Linked DNA regions of Rattus norvegicus. The protein of the gene in region 1 purifies or fractionates together with the protein of each later gene. This does not show direct contact. Links are inferred from orthologs where the notes say so. Each region holds a gene or a part of one and is shown in the gene's direction. Other genes may lie near its edges.

Evidence for each region.
Region 2: the proteins of Bag3 (region 1) and Pdlim7 purify together in Homo sapiens (affinity purification with mass spectrometry; 3 studies listed by BioGRID and IntAct, counting the BioPlex papers as one, with this or other methods). This does not show direct contact. The link is inferred for Rattus norvegicus from reciprocal best matches to the Homo sapiens genes BAG3 and PDLIM7.
Region 3: the proteins of Bag3 (region 1) and Dnajb6 purify together in Homo sapiens (co-immunoprecipitation; 3 studies listed by BioGRID and IntAct, with this or other methods). This does not show direct contact. The link is inferred for Rattus norvegicus from reciprocal best matches to the Homo sapiens genes BAG3 and DNAJB6.

Annotation. Positions count from the first base shown.
Region 1 is NC_086019.1:192,530,803-192,539,189, forward strand, and holds the start of Bag3 (BAG family molecular chaperone regulator 3), read left to right. Parts: upstream 1-2,657; 5' UTR 2,658-2,758; coding exon 2,759-2,944; intron 2,945-8,387. UniProt on the Homo sapiens protein: Co-chaperone and adapter protein that connects different classes of molecular chaperones including heat shock proteins 70 (HSP70s), e.g. HSPA1A/HSP70 or HSPA8/HSC70, and small heat shock proteins (sHSPs), e.g. HSPB8.
Region 2 is NC_086035.1:9,130,195-9,138,057, forward strand, and holds part of Pdlim7 (PDZ and LIM domain protein 7), read left to right. Parts: intron 1-184; exon of another isoform or gene 185-311; intron 312-621; 5' UTR 622-632; coding exon 633-728; intron 729-4,079; coding exon 4,080-4,231; intron 4,232-4,314; coding exon 4,315-4,345; intron 4,346-4,779; coding exon 4,780-4,898; intron 4,899-5,259; coding exon of another isoform or gene 5,260-5,280; intron 5,281-5,529; coding exon 5,530-5,666; intron 5,667-5,787; coding exon 5,788-5,824; intron 5,825-6,009; coding exon of another isoform or gene 6,010-6,106; exon of another isoform or gene 6,107-6,362; intron 6,363-6,773; coding exon 6,774-6,835; intron 6,836-6,980; coding exon 6,981-7,215; intron 7,216-7,863. UniProt on the Homo sapiens protein: May function as a scaffold on which the coordinated assembly of proteins can occur. May play a role as an adapter that, via its PDZ domain, localizes LIM-binding proteins to actin filaments of both skeletal muscle and nonmuscle tissues.
Region 3 is NC_086022.1:6,216,781-6,224,643, reverse strand, and holds part of Dnajb6 (dnaJ homolog subfamily B member 6), read left to right. Parts: intron 1-1,938; exon of another isoform or gene 1,939-1,995; intron 1,996-3,900; 5' UTR 3,901-3,926; coding exon 3,927-3,991; intron 3,992-5,833; coding exon 5,834-5,943; intron 5,944-7,283; coding exon 7,284-7,346; intron 7,347-7,863. UniProt on the Homo sapiens protein: Has a stimulatory effect on the ATPase activity of HSP70 in a dose-dependent and time-dependent manner and hence acts as a co-chaperone of HSP70. Plays an indispensable role in the organization of KRT8/KRT18 filaments.

The DNA of each region.
Region 1 (8,387 bases):
TAGCTTCCACCACAAAGATCAAATGTCCACCGAGCCCATGTAAAGTAAAAAACATAGCACCTGACAGTGATTCCCCAATAAGCACTACCCATCACGACTGTTGTTTTTAATAATTATTATTTACCACACACTGTGCCGGAGGATAGGGACACAGTGGTGATCAAGATCCTGCTCCTGCTCTCAAAAACTCAGCCCATTAAGTAAATCAAACAAACAAGCATTTACAGTGTAAAGCAATTGGTAGGGTGGGACAGGATGTGGATGGTCACAGGACTAGTGTGGGGGAGGGAGCAGTGGTGGGAGGGGGTACGTGTGAAGGAGAGTGTGCCAAAGGCAATTCTGGGAAAAGCCAAGCTGCCCAGAAGATGGTGGTTGGAGCAGACAGAGGGGTTTCCTCCTTGGTGGAGGAAGCAGTGTGTGCAAGACACACAGTTCAGCAGGGTCAGCTTAAGTGTGTACCAGGGAAAGCGAGGAAGACTCCTTTGTGCACCAGACCAAGGAGAGTGGACTTGGTGGGTGCATGAAAAGGCCTCTCTGGTTGCCTTATGGGGAAGAGGTTTAGAGACAAGCTCAAAGGCTGGGAACCCATTAGGAGGCTGTGCAAGGATCAGACGAGAGGGTAGGATGGCCTGGACAGGTTGGTGGGACTGAACAAAGACAAGAGTCACAGAGTCAAACCATACTTAGGAAGATACAAAAGGATGGTAGGAATGAAGGGGCAACTCAAGGACAAAGAGGGGGTGCTAGAGAGATGATTTAAGAGCATTTGCTACTCTTACAGAGGACCAGGAAGTTCCTACAAGGAAGCTCTAAATATCTTAACTACAGTTTCAGGGCATCCAATACGCTCGTCAAACCTCTGCAGGCATTGCACACACATAGTGTACATACATACAAGCAGTCTCACACATGTCAAATAATTCTTTCTTTTAAAAAAAAAAGGACATAGTTGTGCACATAGGTGTGCATGGTTGTGCACACCTTTAATCTTGGTACTTGGGAGGCAGAAATATATAGATAGATGGTATCTTTAAAAAGTAAAATAAAATCACAGCTGGGCAGTGGTGGCACACCCCCTTGATCCCAGTACTTGGGAGGCAGAGAGAGGTGGATCTCTGTGAGTTCAAGGTCAGCCTGGTCTACATAGCTAGCTAGTTCTAGAACAGCTAGAGCTACACAAAGAAACCTTGTCTTGAAAAACAAACAAAATTTTTTTGTTTCACTTTGTATTCAGTCTTCAAAAAATATCAATATTTCTTTATTGAAGATGGACTCTGGACCTGGACCTAGCCGTGTGCTGGGTGGGTTCAGGTATAAAGAAGCAAAAGACAGACGCTGGTCAGTGAATGAATCTAAGAGTCCAGACCTTTCAATGTGACTATCAAATGATAAGCCCACATTCGGGCTTACACAGATGTGTTTGGTGACGCCAGTCAGTCCCTGAAGGCTAGCTATGTTAATATTTATACCGAAGCTTTGAGACTTTAGAGTCAGTAAGAAGGTCTTTGGAAGTTTAAAAAAAAAAAAATCAGCTCTTTGACGATGTCTGGCAGAGTATTTGCTACAGAATAAAAATCTGAGGGGACGAGGCCAGAGATGGTATCTTTGAAGGTCCCAGGATATTCTCTGAATCTGCGTTGGGAAATTGGGCTCAGTATTAGTTCCAGGAGGTTCTGAAGTGAGGGAATGAGTTTGCACGCTAAGAACCTGAGCTGGATCCCCCGAACATTCTCTCTCTGGAGGGCACTGGGAACCAGATGGGTAATGGGATTAGAAGTCGATTGTCACTTACACAAACAAAATTGCAGGGTGTGGTGTGATCCTTATTTTCCAAATCAGAGTCCACCTTTATCATTAAAAACAAAACCAAACAAACCCCAGGGATTATAAATTTTAAGGCTAGTCACTATGCGAATGTGTCTATATCATAGAGTAAGCCAAGAGCACAAAGCTGTCCTATCAGTCCTTAGTTCTTCAGTTTCCCAAAGCAGGCAGGTGAGTTTCCACAGTACTTTCTTTTTGTTGTGACGTCAGATCAGCATTCCAGAACTCCTAGGGAGAAGTCCTAAGGCCCTTGAGAAAAAGTTATTAAAAACGTCACTGCAGGACGCCAGCGTCACTGAATATTAGCGTACTTGGGAGTGGGGAAGATCTAGACTTTCCGAGTTTAAAGATGATTTAGTCCTTACGCAGAGGTGGGGCCCTAGGCGTCAGCCCTTGGACTGCCAGCCCCGGGACACCCCACGCGGCAACGAATAAGTGTTGAGGAGTCCAGAGACCGAAACTAGCCAAGGATCACAAGGACACCGGTGCGCGTCCACCGGGCGCGAGGCGCACAGGCCCCGGGACGCACTCAGGACAGGGGTAGGGAGGGACAGCCAGAGAAGACTAGAAGGAGGGACGGGTGACAAATCCCCGCCTCCAATCCCTCCCACGGTCCCGCCCCGCCGCGATTATAGCCGATGACTCAGGGCGGAGTTCCGCATCCAACCCACGGCGGCCGCCAAGTTCTCTGGATGGGACCAGAAGTTTCTAGCCGGCCAGTTGCTGCCTTCTCTTTATCTCCTCCTTCCCCTTTGGCAGCTAGGAGGCTATTTCCAGACACTTCCACCCCTCTTCGGCCACGTCACCCAGTCCTTTAATTCATAAAGGTGCCCGCACCGGCTTCCCGGACACATCGGCTACACAGAGGTGCCCGCACTCCACGACCTCGTGACCCGCGCCCTAGCTCTGCGCCCCGGGCGGACCCCAACTAAGCATGAGCGCCGCCACCCAGTCGCCGGTGATGCAGATGGCGTCCGGCAACGGAGCCAGCGACCGAGACCCCCTGCCCCCGGGCTGGGAGATCAAGATCGACCCGCAGACCGGCTGGCCCTTCTTCGTGGACCACAACAGCCGCACCACGACGTGGAACGACCCGCGTGTGCCCCCCGAGGGCCCTAAGGTGAGTGGAACTAGACGTCCCACCTCGACGGTGAAGGGGCCTGGTCGAGCCAGGGCTACGCGAGTCACTTCACTCGGCGCCCTGCTGCGCCAGGAGAGTCCCTAACCGTACCGGCCCTGGACCGGCGTCGGGCCCCGGAGAACCTTGGGCGGGGTGGCCTTGGAGGGTAGCCAGCGAGGTGCGACCCGCTCGGTGACATCGGGTGGTTTTCCACAGCCTCTTGCGAGGGGCGAAGGGCAGGTGGTGGCCTGAGCTGCGGTGCGCCGGGTCCTATGGAAGGGCGACGGGCCTGATGAGCGGCTGAGGCCCAGGCCAGGCTCCGCCGCGACTGTCTGGTCCGGTACTGAGACCCTCGGCTCCCTCCGGTGCTGGTGGCGCACGGCCAGGTTTGCAAGGCTGCTGAGTGGAGTCCTGTGTGGATTTCGCCTTCAAGTTCAGAACTTAGTTGAGGGTTATCCTGACTTTATTGGATCTTAGGCATAGAGTGACTCAGGAGGAGGCTCGAGTAAGTAACTTATTTTCCTCCACTAAACTTATTACTGGTTGAAACTGCTTTCAGTTAGAGGTATTCTGATACTACTCCTTTTTTTTTTAAATAAAGATATTGTTTCTGGCAGTTTCAAAACTAGAGAATCAGATATTATATCCATACTTAGCCGTTGGCTTAAGACATTGCCTCACACTGGAGAGAAAGAGAATGTATTTTTAATGGCGTGATTCCTTGTTATTGTAGTTTTCAAATACTGGAGATTGTTGCCAGAAGCAGCTGAGGAGTCTTGTGAACAGCAGGTGTATGCTTCATTTACATATATATTCAGGCTTGTGTGCCTCAGTGTCAAGAGCAAAAAAATTTGAAAATACAAATTTGGAAATAAGCCTGACCTGGTTCAGGCTTGTCATCCCAGCACCCAGGAGGCTGAGGCGGGAGGATCTTGAGTTCAAGTCTAGCTTAGGCTATATAACCAGAATCTATCCTAAAAGTTATTTAGTAATTAAATTTGGAATGAAACTAGCCTGTGTTGTGAAATAAGACCCTCCCATCTTAAAAAAAAAATCAATTAAATTTTGAAAAGAGCTAAAAACACAAACTTAGGTAAGATTTTTGTTTGTTTGTTTTAGTTTTCGAGACAGGGTTTCTCTGTGTAGTGTTGGCTATCCTGGAACTCACTCTGACCAAGCTGTCCTGGAACTCACAGAGATCCTCCTGCCTCTGCCTCCTGAGGCATGAGCCACCGCCACCTGACTAGGTAGGATCTTTGAAAATAATAAAATTAACAGAAGTCATATTTAGTATACCGTTCAGTAATGATTTATGTAAATTTGGTCTTTTCAAAATGAAAAGTTTTGAAAAATAAGTACACTTTTTAAAAGACTCTAACCTGGCCCTGACCTGGTGGTGCACAGCTTTAATCCCAGCACTGGGAGGCAGAGGCAGGTGGATCTCTTGAGTTCAAGTCCAGCCTGGTCTATAGAAAAACATTGCCTCAAACAAAACAAAACAAAACCAAACAAGAAGAAATACAAACTTACTGCTTTCTGGAAAAAAATAAAAGCAGTAAAGAGTTTATTTATTATTTGGTATTTTAAAAAACTCACCCAATTAAAAATGCTTTATAAATCATTATCTTACAAAAAATCTAGTTTGGTTTTTATGTGTATGGTGATAGGGACTGAACCCAGGGCCTTGAGAACTTCAGTCAAGCATTTTCCTTACAACTATTGCTACAACTTTACTATCCAGCAGTGAGCCACATACTTGGCAGTTTACATTTACAAGAAATTAATTGTATATTTCTGGAAATTATTACTATAAGAGGCTATAATTTGGGATGGACATAATTTCGTGTATCTCTGTGCGTGTGCACGTGTGTGTGTGCATGTGTGTGTGCATGTGTGTGTGTGTGTGTGTGTGTGTGTGTGTCCGTTTCATCCATTATTGGGTAAAAGGTTCTCTTGAAACTAGCCGTCTTCAGACTGCATGGGGAGTAGAAGCCCCCCAGTGTGTATTTTGAGGCCTCCTTCCTATAGCTACAGGCAGGATCTCAACCCTCTGGCACCCTTCGTTGGGAGTGAAGATCAAGTTTGAGCACATCATGCTACTGCTTAGCCAATGTGTCAGGATTTGCTGTAGACACTAGGTGGATGCTTTAGGCTGGATTTTCATAAATCTGTGTGAGATAAAAAAACAAACAAAAGAAATTAACTTTCTGCTCTTATGAAGCAGAGAGTGCAAAACGTTAAATCAGATGTTTTGGGCTTGAAAAAAAATGAAAGTTTCATCATTATAGTTTTAAACTTGAAAGGTCCTTAACAGTGTCCCCCTCCCTTCTGCATAAGGAAACGCAGAGAATTCACGTGTGTTTCTGAAGGTCACCCGCCAACCCCAATAGAGAGAGAGGGGCAAGTGGACGGACCAGTTAGAAGAGGCTGAGTTTGTTCAGAAGTGGCTTGAATTTGTATGAAACCGAAGTGTGCTGACCTCTGTGCTGTGCTAGTCTGAGTTTTGATGGTTGTGACTAACTCGGGAGAAGGGTTTCCTTTACCAGATTAATTACTTGAGATAAACTTGCCAGCTTGGTACAGAAACCCAACAAGAAAATGAGCATTTCAGTGGAAGAATCAAAGCCTCAAGCTGTTGGTTGCTTTGAGTCTGGACTTCGCTGCTTTTAAACCCATGCGTTGGCTGTCACAAAACATCCATGTGACTGGGGCTGTTTCCCTTACTGCAGGCTACCAACTTGGAAGACCTTTAATATTTTTGGATGTTTGTTTGTTTGTTTGTTTGTTGGGACAAGATTTCTCTGTGTAGCTGTAGCTATCCAGGAACTCACTCTGTAGACCAGGCTGGCCTTGAACTGTGCCTTCCGAGTGCTGGGATTAAAGGCGTCTGTCACCACTGCCTGGTGACCTTTAATAGTTTATATTAGAAATAGTCTTCTTTCTTCCCTTTCTTTCTTCCTTTCTCTCTCTCTCTCTCTTTCTTTCTTTCTTTCTTTCTTTCTTTCTTTCTTTCCTTCCTTCCTTCCTTCCTTCCTTCCTTCCTTCTTTCTTTCCTTCCTTCTTTCTTTCTTTCTTTATTTCGAGCTAGGGACTCAACCCAGGGCCTTGTGCTTGCTAGGCAAGTGCTCTACCACTGAGCTAAATCCCCAACCTTCTTTATTTTTATGTCTATGTATGCCCGTGTGTACTTAGGGCCCACAAGGGTGTTAGATTCCCAGGAGCTGGAGTTATAGGGGGCTGTGAGCCAACTTGTGAATGTTGGAACTTGAACTCACTCAACTTTGGAGAACCAAAAGCACTCCCAAATGCTGAGCTATCTCTCTAGTCCCTGAAATAGGTCTTTTGAAGCATAAGGAGAAAGCCTCTGCCTAAAACAAAGGCCTTTCTGGGAGGAACTAAGAGACCCTCAGATTATCCCCCATTGCCTAGGAGATGCTGTCAGTCAATAAAGAGCCCTTGGCTGAGTTGGGAAGTCTGAGAAGGCATCTGGATGTTTACAGTCAGAACTGACAAAGAGGACCCCTTCTCGGAAAGAGGAAAATCACCAACCCTTTGTGTTGTATTCAGTCCTAAACTCTCCGAGTTGACTTTAGTTTTCTCTCACGTGATTATAGCAAATCTCCTACCACTGTTTTTATGGCAAACAAGTGGCCCTTATTGTCCCTTAGCCTGTCCCAACTGGAGGCAATGATGTCCTCATGCAGACACCTCTGCAAGCAGCCATGCTATGCCTCCATCTGATTTTTCTCCACACTTGGCCTTTCTACCAATCAGGGAGGTCCATACCAACTGAGATCCCTCCTGTAGAGAGGTCAGTGTTCACTGTGGAGTCTGGAGATGCATGAGCCCTTGCAGCCCCTTCCCAGTGTATCTCTTCCATGAATAAACAGGTCAGGTACTCCAGAGTGCTGGTTCCTTACGAGGCAGACGGTCCTGGAACAGAGCTCCTCACCTCTGTGGATCTGGGGACTCACCATCCTGGCAGTCCTCAGGGTTTTGGTTTTTAATTCAGTTCAATTTTGTGTCTATGCACTCATCATAGCATATATGTAGAGTTGAGGGGACATCTTGGCAGGAGTGTCTACCATGTGGATTTTTGGGCAAAATATGGTCATCAGAGGTAGTGGTAGGTGTCCTAACCCACTAAGCCATTTTGAATGCCCTCTAGGGGAACCTTTGAAGAATATACACTGAGGGGCTGGCGAGGCAGCTCGACAGTTAATTACACTTGCTGCTCTTGTAGGGGACCTGAGCTCACCTCCCAGCACCCAAGTCAGGCGGCTCACCCCAGTGCCAGGGAACCTGAGGCACGGACATGTGTGGATACTCGCACATAAAATAAACATAATAAATCTTTAAAAGAGTGTACATTGTAGTTACTTGACCCATTCTGTTCCCACTTCATGTTAAATCGAATTGTCTAGAAGGAGACCCAGAAATATATAAGTTCAGGGGTCTTTCTGGTGATTTTGGTTTAGCCACATGGGCCTTGAAAGCCACAGTGGCCCTTGATCCCATTTGGCGCACAGGGAGCCTCCTGCTTCACATCTGGCCTGTCAACACCCTCAAGGTGCCTGCCTGCTGGAGCTGAACTGGGTGTGGTATGCCTAGGGAGCCTAGATACCCTGTGCACAGTGGCAGCGTGAGGAGACTGCCCTCCACCCCAGGCTGGAGCCTTTCCCTTTTGTCTTCCAGCATCTCACAACCACTTTGTTCTTAATTCTGTGAGGAGAACTGTCCTTTTCACAGAAAATTGGAGATTTTTTGAGTTATGATTGAAGTGGAAAGACCCATTTATTCTGCTTCAGACCCAGCAGAGCCTCCTGTTAGCTCTCAAAAGATTAGGTCATTTTGCTCTTTCTACATCGATCACCTGCCATTGTGCCTCTTAGCAGACTCAGGGGCTGAGTGGCTCCTTCCCCTCCTTTGCAGCAAGCTGCAGTCAGGGCTGGGAAGTGGTTTGGTGGGAGAGGATCAGGAGCACAGCCACGTGCCTCAGAAGGGTGCTCATCCAAGACCGTCGCTTTCCCTCTGAAGAACAGCCTGTGTATTTGGCTTGCACAAGAACTAACTGTGCCTCCCAGGACACAATTTGTCCCCCATTTTGTGAAGTAGATTTGCCCTTTACGAGGGAAGACCACGTACACAGGAGAACTGTGGCTGTGGTTGACGTTAGCCAGGACTGGGAAAACTTAAAATGTTGGATGCTGTCAGGGCTGGTGGTGAGTCAGAAAGCTTCATACCACCCGTGAGGCCTGATTAGCGCCGTCCTGGTTTCTGGAACGGCACAAGGTTTCCTTATATAAACCACTCTACATGTTTATTACTGTTTATCGACATTTAATTAATTAATTTATTTTTTTATTCTAGTATCTATCTTCCATCCAAAATAGGAAACCATACATGATCGAGGCTGTTCTCTCTCTCTTTTTTTTCCTTCATG
Region 2 (7,863 bases), on another chromosome or scaffold:
CCCCCGTCGCTCTCCACAGGGCCAGTACCCCAGTTTTTCTTTTCCCCTTGCAGAGCCCAGGGGTCCCGCCCTGGCCACCAGCAGCCCCGACCTGTCCCAAAATGGCTAGGACCTGCTCCAGCGTCCTCCTTCCCCACCCCTCCCCCTCATATCCCAAGCCCCTAAAGTGCTCCCTCCTCGGGCTCTCCACAGTGTCAGCTTACACGCCTTATATAGTCCGAGCAGGCTCCAGCGGCGGCCTGCCTGCCGGGACCCGGGGAAGGAGGGGGAGCTGGCCCCTGACTCACCCCGCCGCCCTCCTGAGATTCCAGGTTAGCTTGGGCAAAGCAGTGCCAATTAACCCTACAGCCAACCCCTGGAAGAGAAAAGAAATTGAGCTTGATGAGGACTCTTCTCACCCTCCCAGTGGCAGCGGGCAGGGTGGGGAACCAACTTGCCTGTTGTCTGCTAGAGGTCGGCCTGCCAGGAGCCCAGCCAAGCCAGACGAGATACCTGCCTCCCAGTGCCTGTGTGTGCTTAGCGTCCGCCCGTGCCTTCTTGGTACCTGGCCAACACTAGTGCCCAGATCTGGACCTGCCTGCCAATTTGCAGTGCAGACACTTTTCTCTTCTTTCCTCACAGGAGCAGGTACCATGGATTCCTTCAAGGTAGTGCTGGAGGGACCTGCCCCTTGGGGCTTCCGTCTGCAAGGGGGCAAGGACTTCAACGTGCCCCTCTCCATCTCTCGGGTGAGCCTTGGATGGGGGAACAAACTCCCTAAGGGTTCTTGGGTGCTCAGGTTTCGAGCAGATCATGGTGGGAAACCACAGGAGCAAGCTAGGACCAAAAGGACAGGAGTGCCCAGATCCAAACAGACACTACAGAGACTCCCAACAGGGTGCTCCCAGTTTCCCCACTTTGGCATGGTATTTGATGCTATTCCACCCGTGGCCGCCCACCTATGAGTGCCAAGGGGGAGATCCCTTCAGTACTGGAGACTGATGACTCCGAGAAGTGTCTTAGTTGGAAGAGCAGCGAGTGGAGCCAGGTCCCCAGCTGGATGTAACTTTAATTTCACTGCTATTCAAGGGATAGCAGTTGTCATGTTTCACCAAGTGATAGAATTTGGAGGTGTGGAGGAGCACGTTCAGCAGGTCCACAGCAGAGCAAGGGTTTGAACTGAGGCACAAAACGGACGGCTTGTACTCTCTGTATGTGTAAGGACAGGGAACTCTTGCCGCCACCCTGTTTGAGGGCTGAGTCTCAGTCAGCTGGTGTAGCGGGCTGTCGTGACCTTTGACCCTGAGCAGAGGTGTAGCAAGGCGGGCCTGTAGGATTCTCGGTCCCATTCCTCAGTCCACCCTGGTGGGGAGGGTGGAGCTGGGAGCTGACTCCTCCCTGTGGCAGGGGGGATTGCCTTATAAGCCCAAGAATGCAGCCCCAGCTGGGATGGCCAGTATTGGCTAGTCAAGAAAGCCCAAAAGGATTGGCCTAGGTCTAGGCCCCTCACCTGGCCCTCCGTCATTGGTGTCAGTAGGACTCAGAGCAAACTTTGTGCCCAGAGTGGGTGAAGCCAGCCTTCTAGCTTGGTATCTACAACTAGCCTGGGGGATGAAAAGGGGGGCAGGGACTTCCTGCCCTGACATCCGCTTGCCTAGAGAGGCCCACCCAGCCACAGTGTAGGCTGTTGGCAGGCAGCTGTTGCCCAGGGCAAGCCCAGCCCAAATGGGCCTGAGAATTTCCAGGCACTACTCAGCCTGAAAGGGGTATCAAGGCTGTTTCTCTCTGGGAGCCAGACATGGTGGTCAGGGCGGGCAGGCATGCATGCTGGCTGTGTTCTTCCCAGGATACTTCTCTGGAATTGCCTTGGAATCTGCTCCAACCAGCAGGATGACTAAGGGCTGTGGACCCTTCCCCCACACATTCAGCCTACATTTCCCCTCTGGGAAAGTGCTGGCCAGTGTGCTGTAGGTCTCAGTTTCTTCACTGGTCATGAAGGCCTTGCAGATGTTGCTGGTTTGGGGGTACTCTGGCCCCTGCTGGCCCCTGGGCTCCTTTGTCAGAGGCCTTAACATGTGGGTGGGGCCGCCCACTGAGCCCTGCCCTGGAGTGAGTTAGGCCCTGATGGGTGGGGTGGTCTTTTCTAAATTGGACCAGCCCGCTATCCCTCCCCTGACCCCAGAGTGGAGGGAGGAAGGAGGGGCTAGGGCTGGCTGAGGGCCCAGGCCTGGAAGATGAGGTAATGTCTGGGATTTGGGGGTTGGGCTGCTCAGTGGAGCTCCCAGGCTGACTCACCCACACCCATAATACTGTCCAGCCCCCTGGCTTTTCCCCTCCTTAATCTCACTAACCTCTCTTTTCCAAAATGGTCCTCCCCATGGTGCTCCTCTCTCCAACTCTGACGGACGGCTTACCCCTCACATGCTTCTGCCCTGTGCACCCCATAAAAGAGATAGTTCCTTTACAGGGAGCCTGTCGCTCCTCCTCACAGGACCCCCACCTTGGTCTTGCCCCACGTCTCTCAGGAAGTAGGAAGGAGTGGCTAAACCAGGTTTCCATTGGTGACTCACCAAGCCTGTGACTAAGTCATTTCCCCTTTAGAGTGTCACTTCCCTGTCCCCATTATAAGGGGCTGGTCGCAGTGAAATAAAGGTGAGAGGGTGCATGCAGACCCCAAACTTAGCCATGGAATGAGGGGGTGTCTTTTCGGACACTGTCTACCCTTGAGCTGTCAGTCCTTCTGCCTAGCCTGCCAGTGTTGGCATTACAAGTATACCTTGCCTGGCACCCCAGAGTCTTTTTTTTTTTCTTCCCCCGAATTTGATTTAATTAACTAGTTTTATTAGTTTTTGAGGCAGGGTCTCTCTGTGTAGTCTTGGCTGTTCTGGAATTCACTATGCAGACCAGGCTGGCTTCCAACTCACAGAAATCCACCTGCCTCTGCTTCTGCCTCCGCAGTGCTGGGTGTATGCCACCACAGCTAGCTATCCCAGCATCGTGATTGGGTGCGCTTGACCCCTCTCTTGTGCCCTATTGTAGTGGAGCCTCCCAGTCAGGACCAAATCCTGGCTGCACCTCTTGCTGGCTGGGTGACTGGGTTCAGGTGTTTGGCAGGTCTGGTTTTTGGTTTTTTTTTTTTCTGAGCGTGAGCAGGGTGTATCCCTAGATCCCCTGCAAGTGTGTTGGAAGATGTTACGTCAGTCCTAGGTGTTCTGTGAGTTGCTATTCTTACCGTGTGCTAGCAGGTAAAGAGGGCTCTGACTCACCAGCTCTCTCCTCTGCTAACCTCCCCTTCAGGCACAAAATAAAGCTGTCGAGTCCAGCTCCCCCTTCTGTCCTAGAGTTGGCAGTCTCTGCGGGAGGTCCCTCTGTCCCTGGCACCTCTAGAACCTCTCGTCTTCTGTCTGTCTGCTTCAGTACACATTGATTAGCTCACCCGAGGAGCCTCCTGGGCCCTTGGGCGTCCTACGCCCTGCTTCTCCTACTACCTGCTAAGTGTAAATGCTCTGCGTGGTACCAGATGGTCCAGTGGCCCTGCGGTTTCAGACCTGTGGAGAACCACCATGCCCCCAATCCTTTTGGCTTTGAGTTGGGAATTTCTGGTTCGTGTGGCAAATAGGGGAACATAGTAGGCCTGGTGGAATGACGGCCACCAGAACTGGCTGATTGCTGGTAAGCAGTGAGCCTTGGTCACCAAAAGTAAAAAATTAAGATAAAAATAAAGGAATGTGGAGCCCTGCGAGCGAAAGGGTGTGGGGTGGGGATCAGGGGTTGGCCTTGATGTGGGGGTGGGGAGCGGTAGCAGTTCCCAGATAGGAGATGGGACACTTCACAGGATATAGGTGACCCCAATCAACCCTGTTAGGCCTTCATAGCCCAGTTTCAGCAACACAGGTAGGTGGCTGTCTGGGGAGGGCAATCTGGTGGGTCAAACAGCCTCTAGAGAGACCTCAGAAAACACAGCTGTCAAGGCTGTGGTCCTAGCCTGCAGGTATGGGCTCTAGCCTGAAGGTGGCTGTTTATCAGCAGTGTCTGGACCGTGAGGGAGCTTGTGCAGCTTGGGTGTGCACCCCTGGGCCTCTGACCATTCCTTTCCACAGCTCACTCCTGGAGGCAAGGCCGCACAGGCCGGTGTGGCCGTGGGAGACTGGGTACTGAGTATCGACGGTGAGAACGCCGGAAGCCTCACACACATTGAAGCCCAGAACAAGATCCGTGCCTGTGGGGAGCGCCTCAGCCTGGGTCTTAGCAGGTACAGGTGCTGATAGGCCCAAGGGGTGAGCACAGCCTCTGGTCTCACTTACAGGCCATGACCACTTTTCTCTCCTTCTCCAGAGCCCAGCCTGCTCAGAGCAAACCACAGAAGGTAGGTTATACCAGAGATACCCTGGCTGAGAAAGGGAGGGACTTGGATTGGGCTGGCCTGCTCTCCGTGGCCCAGCCTTGGCTAAGAACAGAGGGCAGATGCCAGAACAGGCAGGGTCTGGGGAACGGGAGAGTGGAGCTAGGAGCTGCCGCACGGTCCGGGCTCCTCACGTGCCTGCCTGTCTGTCTGCCTGCTTCTTCCCATAAGCCTGTGCTGTGTGCGCCTACCCGCCCTCGGTCCCCCTGACCCAGAGTGGGTTGAATTCATCACTTCCAAATGGGCCCCTTGAATTCACAGTCACCCCTTCATCTTAGCCTCTGGCCAGATGTGTAAGAGTGGGGCCGGACCTGTCACTGTTCTTGGTGGTGGTGACAACTCCGCTCCCACCTTGGCCCCCACTCCCACCCACCCTGCCCGGCTCTGTCTCTGCCCAGGCCCTGACCCCTCCCGCCGACCCCCCGAGGTACACTTTTGCACCAAGCGCCTCCCTCAACAAGACGGCCCGGCCCTTCGGGGCACCCCCACCTACTGACAGCGCCCTGTCGCAGAATGGGTATGTCAGCCCCTGCCCACTCACTCCTGCCTCTTGTGCACAGGTCTAGTCCTTTCGCAAGCGCACACACAAGCTGCCCGCTACTGCTCAGTCTGTGCCGGACCCCAGCCCCTTAACCGTGTGGCAGCAATCCCTGGCAGCTGGGTGGGGCTTCAGGAAGAGAGCCCTGCCCAAGGCTGATGCTCTTCCACAGGCTCTGCCCTCCTGGGCAGCCTGGGGTTGGGGTGTGGTGTTGGACCTGCCAAGTCTCACACACTCATTGCTACCTTGCCTCCCTGTCCACTGCTCTGATTTCCCCCCACCCGTCTTTCTTCTCCTGTGTCTGTCCCTTTATTTGTCTATCTGTCTATTTCCTTCGCAGGTGCAGACCCCTGACAAGTCAGTGAGCCCCCTCTTCCTGTCACTTTTCTCCCTTTTGGCACTCTGGGTGGTGGCGCCTCCCTGCCCTGCCTGTCCTCCTGCCCACTCTGATTTACCCACCCACCCAGCCAAGCCCTTTGCCTTACCCCCCTTCTTCCCCCACCCCCACCCCGCCTCTCAGCTGTCACCGTAACCCATGCACATCACATCCTGGGAGGGGCAGCCCCTGGTGCCCACAGAACCAGGGGTTCTGAGCTCTACCCTTCCATAGACAGCTGCTCAGACAGCTGGTCCCTGATGCCAGCAAGCAGCGGCTGATGGAGAATACTGAAGACTGGCGCCCGCGGCCAGGGACAGGCCAGTCCCGTTCCTTCCGCATCCTTGCTCACCTCACGGGCACAGAGTTCAGTAAGTGCTGGCCTGGGTCTGGGCGGACTCTCCTGGTCTTAGCCTGGGCCTGACCTTGCCAGGACTCAAGGCTGGGGTAGCCTTCATTTCTCTTGGTCAATGCCTGCCTCTGTCCTCTCAGTGCAAGACCCGGATGAGGAATTCATGAAGAAGTCAAGGTAAAAGCTTGGGCGCTTTCCCTAACCTCCCGATTCTTCCTTTCCGGCCACCAGTCCTTGTCTACTCCTGGCCATCCCCTGCCAGAGCTCTCTTCTGTCCCTTCCTCATTTCCTTCCCTCCTTCCTCCCTTCCGTCTCTCCTTCCTTTCACTTCCTCCTCCTCTCTCTCTCTCTCTGCCCCTCAGGGAAAAGTATGTCCTGGAGCTACAGAGCCCACGCTATACACGTCTCCGGGACTGGCACCACCAGCGCTCTGCCCACGTGCTCAACGTGCAGTCCTAGCCTGGCCCTGCTCAGCCTGCTGCCCTCTGCTTTCTTCTCTCTTACTCCCTCCCAGGGCACCCCACGGGTGCCTCCAGCTCTCACCTACTGCTTTCACAGCCCTGGCCTGAACCTCCTGCTGGCCTGGTCCCGGCAGCCCGTCTGGCACAGGGCCTGGCTTCGTCTGACACTGCCTTCCTTCTTGGCCCTGTGGTACTGCTGTCTGCCAGGTCTGCGCTGCCTTGAGCGTGGGAATAAACATTCTCAGTCCTGCTTCCTTTGCCTCTGTCTCCCATCTTTTGGGTCTGGTTATGTTTTGGGTTTGGGATGCTAAATGGTTTAGACTTGGTATGGGTCCTGCAGCCTGCTTCTTGGTGGGAGGGAGTACCTAACCAAGATGCAGGGTGGCTCTGCCTTACCCATGGTTCTCCTGGATAAGGAGACCCAAGGCTTGCCCTAGGAGAAGGAGCACACTCTGCTTCCACACTCTACACAGCAGCCCAGATAGCTGTACCCTTCATAGGGGGGAGCACCCCTTCCTACCTCTAGCCCAGAGGGACCTAGAATACATCCCAGCAGTTCTTGATGCATTTAAGCATCACCCAAGGGGGCAGCACAGCTGAACTTAGGGGGTGGGACCATGCCCAAAGCCTCAGCCAGGCAGGGCCTTGAATGGCAGATCTTACAGCCAGGTGCCCAGGACAGAAGCCCCAGCCCCAGCCTCAACCATACCCCAGGAATCCTGGCCTGGTAAGACACTGGGCTTGGGGCTGAAGAAGGGTGGGTAGCCTCCATGGACATAGGGGTGGTGGGCTTTTAAGGCTACCCTGGGTTCTACCCTCTGCCCTTTGGGCTTCCTGAGTACCCCTCTGGATCTACTTTCTTTGGCTGTCAGGCCCCACCACCCCCAGCCCCACCAGCCGCCCACCCTGGGCCGTAGATCCTGCATTTGCTGAGCGCTATGCCCCAGACAAAACCAGCACAGTGCTGACCCGACACAGCCAGCCAGCCACACCTACGCCTCTGCAGAACCGCACCTCCATAGTTCAGGCTGCAGCTGGAGGGGGCACAGGAGGAGGCAGCAACAATGGCAAGACGCCTGTATGCCACCAGTGCCACAAGATCATCCGGTGAGTATTCCTTTCTAATGCTGATCTTTCCTGCCCTGTAACCTGACCCTGTCGTGTCTCATGTACCTATCCTACCTTTGCTGCTGCTCTAAGAGAGTTAAGGATTTGGTCTGGATCCTCAGATCTTTTTAAATTTTCGTGGTTTTGTATGTGGGTGTTTCAGTTGGATGTGTGTCTGTGCACCACTTGCATGCCTGGTGCCCACAGACACTGAGCAGGGGGTTGGATTCCCCTGGAATCAGATGGCATTTAGATGGCTGTGAGCCTTCGTGTGGGTGCTGGGAATCAAACCTGAGTCCTGCAGAAGAGCAGCCAGTGCTCTCAGCTGCTGAACCATCTCTGCAGCCCCCAATCCTCAGGTTCTTAATCTTGCACTTCCCACCACGCTCACACCCGGCTGTAGCAGGGGAAGCATGAAGGTGCTAGCAGCACCCTGAAGCAGTGTCTGTCGCTTCGCCGGCTCTCTGAATAAAGAAGGGCCTCCCTCTCTGCTGCTTCCTCCTCGGGCTTGCTCTCTGCCGAGCCTCTGCTCTCAGAACCGATAGGCCACACGTACCTCCCTCTGTACACTGCTTACTGGAACCCAGCCAAGTCACACAGCCCCCTCAGAGTCAGATTCCAGAGCCTTCCTAGTTGTTGGTCCTGTCC
Region 3 (7,863 bases), on another chromosome or scaffold:
CCCTGTAGGTGCTCTGAACCACCCTGGTCCTATAGAAGTGTAACTGTGCTCTTAACTACTGATATTCCCCACCCCCACCCCCCAAGGCAAAATCTCACTATGACTGGTCTGGAACTATGCTTGGCTTCGGTGTGTGTGTGTGTGTGTGTGTGTGTGTGTGTGTTTGTGTGTGTTTGGACATTCTCATTAGAAGTGGGAGATTATAATGAATAGCCATAGGGAAAGGTTTCACACTGCTACTGCTAGTTGAATTATATAAGACAGATGCTTCTGGCAGCAGTTTGATCTTGGATAAACTAAAAAAGCTTCAGACTAAGTATAACTAATACATTGGAGCTGGGTAGCTGAGGTCTGTAATATAATCCACTCAGGAGTCTGAGGCAGGAGGACTGCCAGATACAAGGTCAACCTGAATAATTTAGGGAGACCATGCTTCAAAAAGGCCTGGGTCAGCTAGGACTGTATCTTATTGAGTGCTGCCTGGCATACTTGGTAGCCAAGTAAAATGACTACCACCACTAAATGAGAGAATTGAAGGAACTTTTTTTCTTCTTTGTAGCCCTGGATGTCCTGGAACTCAGGCTCTAGACCTGGCTGGCCTAGAACTTGAGATCCACATACCTCTGTCTCCTGCATGCTGAGATTAAAGTAGTTTGCCTTCATGCACAGCTGAACTTTGGTATTGGTAAATACCTAGTGCACTGGGTATGGGCTTCTGGTGGGTGTTCTGGGTTCAAATAGAGTAAAGCATGTTTCCCGTTAATGTCGAGTGTATATTTGGATAGTGGATAACATTTTAGTATTTTACTTATTTGGTGTAGCTAGTCTAAATTAATCCTAAGTGGATAAGCAATTTGTGTTCACATTGTATATAATAGTCTATAGTATTAGTAGTTGTCTTTAATATGAATTGTGAGTATCTGTAGGGTTAATTATGAGTACTTGTTTGAAGTGCATCTTGGCAGACACTATCATCAATGTATTATCTTGTAGAATTGGACCAACCAGGTAGGTCCTTGAGCTTTCATTTCCACTCCAGTGACCATCTGTTCTCTGTAATTGATCTTCCCTCTTCATTTCTGTTTGTTTACACGTGCTGGTTATTTATCTTTGTAGTTCATTGTTGGCCTCATCTTTCCTTTTTCTTTCTTTCTTTTTTTTTTTTTTATCTTCGTTCAGGTTTGATTGCTTGTAATCATCTCAGTAGAAGCACTGTCAACTGGGTCTCCTTCCCCCATACTTAGGGGTGCCTTTCTCATGTTGGCATTCCTGTATTAAGGAGTGAAAACGGGAAGAGTCAAAGTTTGGTTTTTAGTGATAGCAGGAAAGGCCACACTTAGATGAAAAATGGACTAAGGTTATATAGGTAATCACTTTATAATAATCAAAGCTGTAGGTCCTTCTGCCCCCAGATACAAGCTTGCAATATATATCATGTGCAAACATGTCTGCTTGTCTAGACTTGTGCATTGTGCTTTACTACTGAACCATATCCACTGTAGATGGTACTAATACAAAAAAGTGCTAAAATAAGGGCAGAAAAGAAAATCCAGCCTTTATTATTTTTGAGATAGTCTAAAGTAGCATTAGGTGGGTCTGGAGTTGGCTGAGACAGGCTCTTGTTTTCTGAGACAGGGTCACATGTGTTTCCTGTTGCCTACAAATTGGGGTCACACTAGTGGCCTAAATTCCTGATCCTTCTACCACACCCAGCTTGAGGTTAGTTGAGATAGTTCCTAAACTTTGTTTGGTGATCTGTAGCTTATTTTATAGCTCCTTCCCTCTGGTACCTGACACTAGTTAATACAACACGTGATTGTTGTCTTAATATTTCCTAGTTAGCTTAGTCCCTTGTGGCTGTTATTGCCTAGGTATTACACTTTTTGAGTCTCTGTCTTCATTGAAAAGAGGATGACCCAAAGGCTTTTTTTTCTGCAGGAGTAAGGGCTGAGGACCATGCTGAAGATGTTTTGAAAGAGTTATTTTCTTTATGTGGTAGGTATAACAACATAGAATTTACTAGAGAAAGACATGTTGGTTGGAGTGGGGAGACTCAATAGTTAAGTTTTGGTTATGTTCTATTTGAAACAGCATGCTCACTATCCAAGTGGCTATTTTGTGCAGTCTTGTGTCTATTTACTGGGTTAGGCTTTCATTTGGGACTCAGGGTGTTATATAATGGGCAGTAGATGTTGAGATGAGTGAGGCTTTGAGCACATTTGAGGAAATTCATCATAGAATGCAGATCTGAGAAGACTGGAAAAGATTTGGGAAGTCAGAAGAGCCCTTAAATGTATGGGGGAAGGGTTAGGAATTCCTGAGCTTAAATCAGGTGATTTCAGATGATGAGGTAGGACAGAAGTAGAAACTTGGGAGTGAGTCAGGCTGTGGAGAAAGAAATACATTGGACTTAAATTAGTCTATTTCAAGGGGTTTGGTGGTTGAGAGGTTGGCAGCTCTCAAAGTGTCTCGAGTTCTCCAAATGAATTAACTCAAGGGGTACTCTTCATTTAAGAAGGCCAGCATTCAAGTGTTGGCTGAATATCAACTGCCAGTTGGTGCTGTGTACCCCACTGCCTTGAAGTCAGGATTCATGGCTGGTTCATTTGGCTCTCCTGTCAGCTCTAGTTTTTGCATCACTCATAATAGAAACATGGACATTGGTGGAAATATTAGACCACCTCGGAGGAGAAGGAGAAGAGGGCATGTGCTTTGACTCTTACTAGCACTTCACAGTAGCTGTTGTTTCACTTTGTAAGGCTCACATATTTGCAGTCAGAAACAGTCTTGGGATTTATTGTTCTCTAAGAGTGGATTAGTACAACAATGTTTGCCTTGTCTGTGTTGGGTCCTGCAGTTATTAGCATTGGTTTTTAAAATGCTGCTTTAGACAGATCCTTTGTAGCCCAACTTTTATCATTTAATGGAGTAGAGAGGAAGAGGTGTTGTTTTTTTTCCCTGGTGTTGATGACCAAACTTAGGGCCTTACATGTACTCACAGGCTCTCTACCATTGAACATATCTCCAGTCTTTATTTTGGTATTATTTGCTATTTTTGTTTTTGAGACAAGCACCATTGTGCAGCCAGGTGGGGCATAAAGTCTGAAAGGGTAGGATAATGGTTGTTTGTTATCAAGGTGGTATTTGATGTTGTAAAAGATTGTGCTTTTCCATTTTGCTTGTAAGACCCTTTTCAAAGTTCATGGTCCTTTTCTTCCGAAGGTGAGTGGCAGTTTTTCTTGTTTTCCTTCTGAGGATGGTAGCCTTTGAGGAATCACATTTCCTGTAGGGCTCTCAGTAGTAGCTTTCCTGTGCCTGAAGGCTAATGTAGGTTGAAAACCCCAGACCTTGTGGACTGGTGCTCAGGCTGCTATTGTGTTAGGATTGTAAACTCCCTGGTGCTTTCCAGTAACTGAGCTGTGCCTCCTTCCTGTTTTGTCTGCCTTCCCTCAGTTTATATCATATAATATATAATTTTATATACGTATTTAGTTTTTGAGACAGGATTTCTCTGTGCAACAGAGCCCCCTGGCTGTCCTGTACTTGATTTGTAGACTGGTCTGACCTCTAATACACAGAGATTCTCCTTCCTCTGCCTCCCTAGTGCTAGGATCATAGGTGTGCACCATCACACCTGGCTGTCCTGAACTCACTCTGTAGACCAGGCTGGCATAGAAATCAGATGTGCCTGCGATTTGCATCTCTGGCACTGCAATTAAAGGTGTGTCTCACCATATGGATGGGAAATGATTCTTGAACCCAGTTTTTGGACAAAGGTCCTGCCTAAGATACAGGCTAGTGACTGGGTCAGTAGGTGCAGAGGAGGAACTGACTCTTATTCATTCTCTCATTTTTCACTGATTAAGCAGTGTTATCATGGGTGTATTTTTTTATTTGCAGGATTTGTTCCAACAGTCTGTTAAAACATGGTGGATTACTATGAAGTGCTGGGCGTGCAGAGACATGCCTCACCTGAGGACATTAAAAAGGCGTACGTAATTCTATTTCTGAGATGATGTTCTATACCATGGTTCGTTGGTAATTCGATAATGTAAAAATTAGGTTTATTCATTTTATGTGTGAATGTTTTGCTGGCCTGAATGTATGTGTGTATGCTCAGTGTTTAAGGAGGTCAGAAGACAGTATATGATCCCCTAGAACTGACTTTGTGGATAGTTGCAAACCACCATATGGGTGCTGGGAATCAAACTTTGGATCTCAGTAAGAGCAAGTGCTCTCAAACCCTGAACAAGGCAGCCATCCTGTACTGGGATCTAATCTAGGTCCTATGGTTTAATTTTAAATGTTTAAGTTCTAATATTTCTCAGACTAGGGGATCTTTGGGCATTCTTTCTAATTGGTGATCTTTAGGTTGAAAGACCGAACAACTCTTAAAAAAATGAAGTAGATGATTCTTAGGAGGTTAAGCTGGCTTTCATACTCATACACACTGTACACGCATACATACATACATATATATATATATATATACACACACACACACACACACACACACACACACACACACACGTACCCCAAAAACCTGACAAATTATACCATGTCCCAAAAAAGAAATGTTAAAATTGCCCTGTGTGCTAGAGGTCCTAGGTTCCATCTGGAGTTCCTCGTACTATCTATATTTACTTTGTGATACCTCCTTCTCTCCCTGGTGTTTCCTGAATTCCAACCTAGGCTTGTTGTCTCCACTGAACTATATCTGTAGCTCTTCACCATTATCTTTTAAAATGTTGGTGTATGCTGGGTGATGTTAATCCCAGTACTCAGAGTAGGCAGATCTCAGTGACTTTGGGACCAGCCTATTCTACAAAGTGAGTCCCAGACAGCCAGGACTCTGTTACACAGAGGGTTGGTGTGTCATCAGGGACATAACCAGTTGAGGTTTAGTGTTCTAGTTTATTTCTGATGCTGTGATGAACTACCCAAAAGAAACAGAAAAGGGTTTACTTCATGATAGAGGTCACATAGTCATCACTGTGGAGAAGTCATGGCAGACGCTTCAAACAGCTAGTTCGATTATATCTACTATAGTTCAGATAAATGAGTGTGTAGATGGCTGTGTTCTTGCTTGTTCTCAGCTTGCTTTCTTTGCAGTGTAGGGGTGCTGTCTACTGAACGGTGCTGTACCTAATCCACATCAGCTTCCTTGAGACCATTCTCCAAGTAATTCTATATTCTAGCCACAAAAGTTGACATTTCAATCTTGTTTAAGCATTAAATCTAGAACAGGTGGCTATTTAAAAGATATTAGGAGTCCAGATTGTGCTGTGGGAGATGTTCTTCCTTTATATTGATGATGAGTGGAGGATTGAATGGCTGGGGAAAAAATAGAAATACGAGGGAATTTATTTACATTGTATCTGTTCTGCTCAGTGGACAGGGAGTTGTCTACATTTTGTACACGCTTAGCCTGATCACCAGAGCCTGTAATTTGAATACTTGGATCATCCAACATGCAAGTTTTCAAACTAATTATTCTTGCCAGTTCTTGTGCAAGTATCTGAAATTAGAACTTGCTTATTTCATTCGCAGGAAAAAGGGGGCTTTACTGCTAAGATATTCTTATACCTAATGGTATAGTTATTTTCTGTTTAAGGGTAGGGTGTTTTTTCTTTTTCTTTTTTCTTTTTCCTTTTTTGAGACAGGATTTTTACAGTGTGCATGGCTGGCCTGGAGCTCAGTATGTAGACCAGGCTAGTCTTAACTCATAGACCCATTGCTGGAATTAAAGGTGTGCTACTACCATGGCTAGCTGCTTATATTAAAGTTCTATGGACTTCAGTGTACTCAGTATACACCTTTTTCATCTTTCAAGGTATCGAAAACAGGCACTCAAATGGCACCCAGACAAAAATCCTGAAAATAAAGAAGAAGCGGAGCGGAAATTCAAACAAGTAGCTGAGGCATATGAAGTGTTATCGGATGGTAAGTAAGCCTGAGCGGGAAGGGCTCTGAGAGGGTGCATCAGAACAGGACTTCTAAGAGAGCACAGACACAAAATTTGTTTGCTCCCAGCTAAACTGCTTCCCCTTCCCAAAGGTTTTTATTTTTTTGTGGACTTTGTATCTGGTACATCTAACCATGGGTCCTGAGGAGCTATGGGCCATGCATGAGCTGTAGACGTTGTTCTGCTGCAGGGATTGTTAATGGGGTTTTAATACTTGCACAAGGAAGGGGTGCTCCGATTTATTTAGACTTTGACACAAACACACACTTTGACACATACATACACACATACACATCCCACTTTAGATCTAGAGCATAGACATTAGATGCCTCTGAAGGTTGTTTGCAGTTGGGTGAAGGGTTAGCTGTCAGCTAGGGGCACCCATCACATTTGTGGTTAAGGAAAGATTTTGCATCTAAAAGGCTGGGACTAGTGCCAGAGATGTGAAAAGTACTGCCTATATCCTAAGCACTATCCTGCTGGGTGGCCTGGCACGAGTCAAGGCAGAGGCATTTAAAAGGTTAGGTACTAATTGACTGATTATAGGAAATAATAGGTCACCATCTTAAAAAAAATCTTTTTCTAGAAGGAACCTGACCTAAAATGCAATGAGCCAGCTTATTGGCATACAACTCCTTGCATTATCAATACTCTAATATGTAACCTTTCCAGTTTTAAAGGCAACCCACGAAACTTCACAAGTATCAATTTTTTTCCCCACTTAATGAAGACATTGATAACTGAAATCCTGCAAATGTGGCAAGGTCTTAATACTGTTGGGGCTTTGAGCTCTAGTGACTGGAGCCTGGACATCAGAGCTTATGTTACTGTTCTTACAAGGGCTCTTCTTACTCAAGATGGGGTTGTTCTTCACTTTGTTTCCCCTGTTGTAGAATAGCATAAGATTTTTGGGGGAAGACAGAAGGATGTGGCAGCTGTGTTGTGTGGCTATCCCAGAAGCACAAAGGCAGCAAGCAGGGCTTGGGCAACCAGCATAGCACCTATGAACCAAGTGAGTGAGTGGTCAGCTCAGCAGAACCTGAGCCTGAGCCTGAGACTGAGCCGTGCAATGTAGCACAAGCCTGGCTTCTTTTATGGTATATGCTTATCCACTGTGCATTCTACCCAGTGTTTAACATCCATTCGCTGGACTTTGTAGTAAGCATCTGTAGCTGTTACAAGTAAGTTTGCCAATTCAGGAGACCTGCCTCCTTTTAAAGTCAAGGGTCTTCTAAATGGATGTAGATTTAAAATGGGAAATACTGACTGAATGTTGGAAAGAACTTAACCATACTGATTGTTTTTCTCAAATTTAAAGCTAAAAAGCGGGACATCTATGACAAATATGGCAAAGAAGGATTAAATGGTGGTGGAGGAGGAGGTATGTCAATTTTCTTTTTGGAGACAAAAGGGCTTGACAAATTACTTGTGTAACTGAACTGTGTTCAGTTCTTAAACGATTTGTTCTTGATAGTCAATAGGGATTAGTCTTGAAAGTGGTGAGTGAGTTTCTTCTTCCTGCTTCCTCTTGTTTTCCCTTGCCCCTTTGTCACTTCTCTCTCCATTCCCCTCCCCGCTTCTCTCCATGTACTCATGGCTGGCCTCTCCTCCTCTTCTCCCTCTCTTTCTCTGCCCTACCACCTTCTTAATTCCCCTCCCCATGCCCTGAATAAACTCTATTCTATACTTAAAAAAAGTGGTAAGTTGTGTGAATGAGAAGCAAACATTTACAGGAGCTGCTCCTTGGCTGGGCCTGGTGGTGCATGCTGAAAATCCTAACGCCTAAGGTGGTATAGTGCCTGTGAGTTGAAAAACCTGCCTGGTGGGTTTCAGATTACTCTATATGATTACGATTTTTCTTCGGTAATTCTGCCTCCTCAAAGTAATTTAAAAAAAAA